Rhinolophus ferrumequinum: one gene and its partner. The protein of the gene in region 2 purifies or fractionates together with the protein of the main gene of each other region. This does not show direct contact. Links are inferred from orthologs where the notes say so. Each region holds a gene or a part of one and is shown on either strand. Other genes may lie near its edges.

Region 1 (3,745 bases), on a different chromosome or scaffold from region 2:
GGATTATAAGAAGGAGAAAATGAAATAGTAGCATGTAGCACAGTATCTGGCATATAGTAAGTGCTAAATAAACATCAGTTTTGTGCCTTCCTTATCCAAGTATAAGCTATTCAGAAAAAGGGTAAGGTAGAATTTTAAGTGATTTTTTTACACATTGGTACGTGCCAAGCAGAAAAGTGGATTGGTTATGAGTTGCACATGTTAACGTTTGTATCTGAAAATCAGGCTCAAAGCAAATTCAATTTCTTTCCACAAGGTCAGCACTTTGAGAACATTATTAACCTTTTAGCTATATTATTTAATGCAAAAAAATTTCTGAGGGAAAAAAATGAAAAGAGCCCCTTGGAATACTGTTCTTCACAATATCAAGTCAAACATTCTAAATCTGATTTTCTTATAAAAATATTTATAGTATTAGTCTGGCTAACATAATTTTAAATGAAATTCTCGTAATTCTGCCATTCTTAAAAACATGATTTCTTCAAAAAAAATTTAGGTAACATATATCAATGTCTTTTCAATTGATGCACAGCGTTTAGTTTAGGGTTTTAAAATACGATCCAAATCGCAAAATACTAAGCACCAATCGTAAGCACTATTACAACTCTGTTTGCGTTAAGCAGAGCAAGTAAACACTTTATACAGCAGTGGAGGTGACTAGGAAAAAATTGAAAAGCGATTTAAACGGATCCCCCTCTTTTCCCTCCCCTCCGTTATGCCCGAGAATGCAAGTGTCCCGCATCTCAGATCAAACTGAGCCTGGGTCTTACTGACGTAACCAGTAACCCTATCCACCTCTCACACTGCGGAGGCCGGCAGGGCAGCGTCTGCGGCCAAGTACACCACTCATCAGAGCCTGTCCCGTTCCACCCCCGCGTTTCAGTCATGCTTTCCAGAAATGGGGTCACTCACTCGGTAACTATTGCACACACGTAGCCTATCATCCTGTAATCCCCCAAAGTCCGCTGCGGGGATAGAAGACAGCAAAAAGTCAAGAAGGAAGAATCACAGACGCGCCACCATCAGGAACTGATTTTCCACTCGAAGAGGAGCGCTGATGCCCTGGAATGGGTCTTGTCTGGGTTATTTTCGCAGACCCTGAGTTGGTTCTGGGACAAGGGGCGGCTGTGAAAAGCTCGGTGCTGTGGTGTGTCCGGGGGAAATTCTATTTTGCCCTGTTTGGGGGTATATCTGGGTTTCTGGCACTCGGGTGGGTGTCTCGGGGACGGTCACCAGATCCCGTGCGAGGAAAACCAGAAAGCCCTTTACGACGGCCGCTGATCTCCTTGAATAGCACTCTCTCACCTCCATGGACAGGAAACTCAAGCTAAACTCGCAGGGACCGGGTCCTCGATAGAACTGAGCGACCTCAGAAACGGGGGGGGGGGGGGTGCGGGGATGGAGGATCTCAGGCTTCCACTTTCTCCTTTGCAGCAGGAGAAACCGCTGCGGCAGTTCGAAGCAAAAACCCTTGGTTGTCCTGCATCCCAACCAGAAACCCCCACAGGTCGCTATCCCTGCCCTGGGCCGTTCTTGCCCCCGCGCGCCAGTCTTCCCGAAACAACCCTGTCCCTGGATGGGACTCGAGAGTCCCTGCTCCCTAGTGAACCCAATTCGTACTCCTCGCTCATCCCTCAAAGCCACCAGGGTCCACGGAAGCTTCCAACCAGGCAGGGCCAAACTTCCCAACTCTTCGCCGGCCCCCGCTCCGCCTCGCGCTTTCCCCACGCAAAGTTGATTAAAATCGGCTTCTTGCAAAGCCCCAGCGCCCACTCCAAACCCCACGCGCCACCACACCACAGCCCCCCTAGCAAGGGCGGGGAGGTGAGGGTGAGGGTGGGAGGAACAGAAGGGCAAACGGACCAACCCCAACTACCCCAACCGGAATCCCGGAGCGAGGGGAGACGCGAGAGGCAAAGGAAGGGGCCGAGTGGCCAGCTCCGGGGAGGGAAGCCAGCCGGCGGGGGCGACGGGAGGGGGCGCGCCGGCCCCCGCCACCCCGCTGCACTCACCTCCGCGCTGTCGGACGGGCTCTCCACAGCCATCTTCTGCCACGGGTCCGCCAGCTGCGCCAGCGGCATCTTCCCCCCCGGCCCGCCGCCTTCACCGCCTCCTCCCTCCCCGCCCGCCCCGCGGCCGGCCCCACTCAGTCGCTGCCCGAGCCCCACGGCAGCGGCGGCAGCAGCAGCAGCAACAGCAGCAGCGGCGGCGGCAGCAGTAGCAACAGCGACAGAGGCTGCCCGAGAGAGGGCTCGGTGTCCGACACCGACCCTCGAACACCGCGCGCCCGCTGGAGACGCCCGCGCGCCAAGCGAGAACCTCGCGCCGCTGCCCGGCACCGGGTCTCGCCCCTTTCTTCCTCTCCTCCTTCCGCCGCGGGGACTACAGCTCCGCCCCCCACCGCGGGTTCCCGCGCCCGCTCCCAGCAGAACAGCGGCCGCCGCGCGCTCCCCTACTTCCGCTCACAACATGGCGCCTTAGCGATACCTGTCTCTCAGAGCGAGGCTCGGCCACCGCCGCCACCGCGCGCGCACCCGGGGGCGGGGCTCTGTGAAGACACGCCCCCGGTCGCCACGCTTTGCTCCTCCCTCCTTCCTCGCCCTAGCCTCAGCTTCTGGGCCTCGCCTATTTTCAGGAAGGGCGAGCCCCAGAGATCTGGGGGCGTCGGCGGGGCAAAGAAGAGGGGGAAAAGCAGGAGGGGCGAAAGGGTGGGAGCTTTTGAACAGCCTTGGGTCCGACCAGGTCGGAGGATCCTTGGGGATGTAGCGAACAGTGGTACCCGCCCAGATGAGGAGGGAGATGGGAGAGGCTCCGGGGGCACAGTCCGGTGCCAAGGACCCGGGGAGCGGGTATGGGGTGTCTTTTCGTCTTGACTCCTCCGTGGATGCGTTTGGGTGAGCCGAGTCTATGGGCACATCTCGTAATGGCCAGGACCTGCCCTCTCCAGGGTCACACGCTGTGCATTCACCTGCCCCCTCCCACACACACACCAGGGACACTGAAGGCTTAGTGCCTGGGAGAACCCTGGGGGTTTGGCTCTCGGTTTGATCCAAGGCTCTCCATATTAACACTCTTGTGTTATATTTTTAATATTTAGAATTCATTTGTCTTGCATGAGTCGTCCCCCCCTCCCAAGTCCGCAGAGCCCTCGGGCTTCAACCTGGACCCTTAAATCCCCCCACTCCTTGCTGCCTAAATCTTCATGAAGGAGAAAACAAGGAGGTTCTTTAAGGCTGCCTGAGACTCTCGGCAGAGGTTGGGGAATTATTCTAAAATATCTTGTTGGCAGAAGTCCGGGGTTCCTGCTCCTCTGTTGACTTTAAATAAAAGATTAAATTAAAAAAAATCAGGCAGGCCGTGGGTGGAGGAGGGGGAGAGAGGGAGGAGTTCTAACTCCTGCCCAAGATAGGGAAGCCCTGGGTTGAGGAAACCCTATCCCCAGACGGCGACGGCGCCCAAGAAGACAGGGAGAGCGTGTGGGGAGAGGCCTGGGTGTCTGGAGTGGGTCCCGGGGGCTTGAGTGAGACCCCGTGTGCCCCGCGCCAGGTGCCGTGGCGAGCTTACTGCCCCCGGGCAGAATTGTGCAAAAGTCGCCAGGCAGAGTGGAAAGCTACGGCAGCCACTGGCTTATCGCCCTACGAGGAGAAGGAAAAAAGTAAAGGGAACTCTCCAGGCTGTAGTGCCTTCATTCCCTCAGGCCTCGGCCCAGGCGTCCCGGGCTTCCCACGCCTGGCTACCACAGCGC
Region 2 (3,745 bases):
GCTGCAGCCTCCCTCCTCATTCTTCTCTTCTTCCGCTTTCTCTCACTGGCAGGCTCAGGCTGTGATCTCTGGGGTTCAGGGGCACTGCTCTCTTCCCCAATCAAAGCCTCATAGAAAGCCCGGGCTGCAGCCCCATCCAGGGTAGGCTCCAGCTCTTCAGGCTGTGCCTGCTGCTGCCCATCTTTCCAGAGGTCGCTGGGGTCGGTGGCCGGGGTGAAGGTGATGAGGGAGGGCCTGGGCATGGCTGTGGGAGAGCTGAGAAAATCAGACTAGGCAAGGGGAAGATGAAACATGCAAGCCAATCCCGTGGTGGCCCTGCAGTGACCACAGCCACCTCCAGAGACCTGCTGGGATGAGGGAAAGTAGCTTTAGATTAAAACAAACAAACAAAAACCCTCCCACCCCAAAAGTTACCTCACAACCTAGGACCCTACAGGGCCTAAGGATGATAAATCACGTGGAAACACGGAACCCTACAATAACAGACCATGCCCTTTAGTAAAGCTTAACAAAGACTCCATGGGACAGTTACGCAGAGGTCCTGCGTTCAGCCCCCTCCCCCAACCTCATCAACAATAAAGAATAAGTAATCTCTTTGAAACTACCGCTCTGTAAGGCATACCATTAAGAAAAACAATCAGTCTGGCCCTTTAGACTTTCCTTGATCCTATTTTGGGTATTATCTTCTCAAACAAAAACAGACTTGACACTTCTCCGGAAGCAGGAAGCACATTTGGGGGAAGGCTGCAACCTGCGTTGTCTTGTAGCTTTCGTACTGCAAAATGGCACCTCTATGCAAAGCAGTTCACAAGATCAAGTAGCCAGACGACTAGAAGACGCCTGAGTGGAAAAAAACCAAACTTTTACTTGAGGGCACAGGCTTACAGAAAGCACCAGGTTTCCCGCCTTGCAACCTTTCCAATAGTATTCGCGCAAAGTACCACGTGCCAGCATAGCACGAGGACCGAGGATCTGTCAGTTGGGGTCCTGCTTTTATATAACGCCCCACAATGCCCTTCGCCTCCCTCAACTTGGTCCCAGCTCTGAGCTCATTTTCTGGAGCTGGGAAACCACTCTCTGGGTTAAAAAAGGCCCTGAGGAGGCGGAGGGAAATCTATGGAATGCCCAGAGCTGTGAAATAACGTCACGCTGCCCCTCACCATTACTCCAATCAGGGTTCGAAGGTCACACTTAGCGCCCGCAGCAGAAGGCCTCATTCAAGCCCTAAGAGGAAATGGAGAACTGCAAGGGGACGAGCAGCAGAATAATGGCTAGCACCACCTCAGGTTAGCGCTGGGCCGACCCGACTCTCACACCGCTCCGCTCAGCCCAGCACATCCTACGCAGGTCCCTCAGCACGGAGGCCGGCCTCACCTCCTGCCTCAGGCGGCCGGACCCCCAGGTGAAACATGGGGCCCGTCGGGGGTCTCCAGTGGCGTGTCTGGTTCGGGCGACGGGCTGCCTGGGGATGAAGTCAGTCCCCTGGCCAGCAGGGGCGCGCCGGGGCCGAAGTCTCGTTCGCTGTGTGAGGGGAGCGGCAGGAAATCACCCAGCCACCTTCGTTCCTTACCCCGCCCCCTCGCGACCCCCGGGTTCCGCGATCACCCGACTATATTTTTCAAGCTCTCTGGCCCAGGACACGGTACAGGGCTTCCGCTTCCGGTGGAGCTTCGCTGCGCCCCGCCCCTAGCATCTTCCCCAGGGGCCTCGCGACACCAGGGTCGTGCGCAGGTCACCCTGGAATTCGTAGTTCGCCTTTCCCTCGTTTCGCCAGTTTCTCACCATCAGAGACTCTATCTCCCGGCGTCCATCGCGGCGCCCGACCCCTGGCGCTTGCGCGTTGCCCTCTTCCCCACCCTCTCCAATTTCCACTCCCCCCTGCCCACTTCGCCTGCCGCGATCCGGTCCGCGGCCTGCGCTGTAGCGGTCGTCGCCGTTCCTTGGAAGTAGCAACTCCCCTCCCCCACCCCGGTCCTGGCCCCCGTCCAGCCGGTGAGTCTGAGGTCGTCGCCGCGCTGAGTGCCCTGTCCCTGGGCACGGCACATGGGGGTCTCCGCGCTTCGATGTGTTTGGTGGAGAAGGAAGAGACCTGGTCCGGCACCCAGGGAGGAAGAGGTGGCCTGAGGGGCGGAGGAGGGATGTGGGGACTCCTGCGAAAGGGAGCTGAGGGCCACCTCCCCCCCTCCCAGGCCATGAGGAAAAGAGGGGCCCATCTCTTGCTTGGAAGGAATAAACTTCGGCACGCTTGGGAAATGCCCCGGAACATGTAGAGACCTGAGGGAGCACGGCCAGAGTTGACGTGAAGGAGAGAGGGGACTGGCCTTTGGGAGCGTCAGGGACGTGGGTAGGACTGGTGGGTCAAGACCCGTCGGTTTCTCGCAAGTGGCGGGACCCCAAAGAATTTCTCATCTCAGAAAAAAGGGGTTGAGCTGTGAATAAGAGGATGTGGGGCGAGGTCCCAGAGTCTGGGACGCCTTAAGGAAAGGTGGCCCCAAATTCTTCCGTGGTTGGAGAGCAAAGTGTGGGAGGAGGGAGGATACCAGAGGCAGGGAGGGAGAACGTGGGTTACACTTACACTCTTCTTTCTCCAGCTGACGTGAAGATGAGCAGCTCAGAGGAGGTGTCCTGGATTTCCTGGTTCTGTGGGCTCCGTGGCAATGAATTCTTCTGTGAAGTGAGTTCTCTTCAATCTCCCTACCTTTCTCCACATGTAGTCTGGCCAGAGATTCTCCCACGTATTCAGCTTCTGCGCACTCGTCTCGCATGCTTGCATAGAAACGTTTTCCTGTCAAGGAAGAGTGCCCTCAGTAACCCACCACTAATTTGTGGTGAAATAGTAAGACTGGGGCCCAACTCCCACCCCTGCCACCCGCCAGCAGTATAACGTTGCACAAGTTAGTCTGTCTGTTTTATTACTAGAGGGGTATTGGTAATATCTATTTCTGGGGACTGGTAGGAGAATTAAAACGCCGCGTTGTAAAATGTTTCGTAGCATTTAACATAATGTGTTTCAACGTAAGGGATGTAACTGCCTTCAGAACCCATGCTTTTCAACCCCTACCTTTCTCCGCCATCTGCCCCTAAGGAGAGAACAAAACTGGTTCCTAGAGGGAGGAGCAGGAGTAGGGACAGGTATCTTGAAGGGGAAGCCTCTCTAAGGAAGGGAGTGCTGTACATGCTTATCCTTAGAAAAGAAAAGCCAAAGCTTCTATGGACGGCAGTGTAGGTAAACTGGGGAGAGAGACTCAAGTGCTTCTGCTGAGTTGGGAACAGAAGCAGCTGTCTTGAGGATAAGGCACCAGTTAGAACGACTTGCTCAGGTCAATGCCAAGGACTGTGCCATGGGTTCCCTCTTGACCTCTGCATCCTGACAGGTGGATGAAGACTACATCCAGGACAAGTTCAATCTCACTGGGCTCAATGAGCAGGTGCCTCACTATCGACAAGCTCTAGATATGATCTTGGACCTGGAGCCTGGTGAGTCACCTCAGGGTTGTTTTGTGTGTGTATGTGCTTTTTTTCTCTTCATATCGCTATTCATCTGCTTCTTGAATTTCTAAACTTCCTTTTTGTTGTCTGATTCCCTTAACCCAAAATCCCCTACTTCGTTTTGATTGCCCCTCCTGATTCTTGCCTAGTTTTGTGACTGATACCACTTGTCCCCGCGTTCTGATGCTATAACTCAGCTATATTCCATAATGCATTTCCCCAGGGTTCTCATTTTCCGCTTCTTTATCCTACCTTG

The links.
Region 1: the proteins of CSNK2B (region 2) and RPS6KA3 purify together in Homo sapiens (affinity purification with mass spectrometry; 5 studies listed by BioGRID and IntAct, with this or other methods). This does not show direct contact. The link is inferred for Rhinolophus ferrumequinum from reciprocal best matches to the Homo sapiens genes CSNK2B and RPS6KA3.

What each region holds. Positions count from the first base shown.
Region 1 is NC_046284.1:111,171,020-111,174,764, reverse strand, and holds the start of RPS6KA3 (ribosomal protein S6 kinase alpha-3), read right to left. Parts: upstream 2,402-3,745; 5' UTR 2,082-2,401; coding exon 2,013-2,081; intron 1-2,012. UniProt on the Homo sapiens protein: Serine/threonine-protein kinase that acts downstream of ERK (MAPK1/ERK2 and MAPK3/ERK1) signaling and mediates mitogenic and stress-induced activation of the transcription factors CREB1, ETV1/ER81 and NR4A1/NUR77, regulates translation through RPS6 and EIF4B phosphorylation, and mediates cellular proliferation, survival, and differentiation by modulating mTOR signaling and repressing pro-apoptotic function of BAD and DAPK1.
Region 2 is NC_046286.1:2,159,186-2,162,930, forward strand, and holds the start of CSNK2B (casein kinase II subunit beta), read left to right. Parts: upstream 1-1,169; 5' UTR 1,170-1,402; exon of another isoform or gene 1,403-1,668; intron 1,669-1,855; exon of another isoform or gene 1,856-1,992; intron 1,993-2,189; exon of another isoform or gene 2,190-2,344; intron 2,345-2,591; 5' UTR 2,592-2,602; coding exon 2,603-2,674; intron 2,675-3,374; coding exon 3,375-3,477; intron 3,478-3,745. Other genes in the region: GPANK1 (G patch domain and ankyrin repeat-containing protein 1), read right to left, coding at 1-242. UniProt on the Homo sapiens protein: Regulatory subunit of casein kinase II/CK2.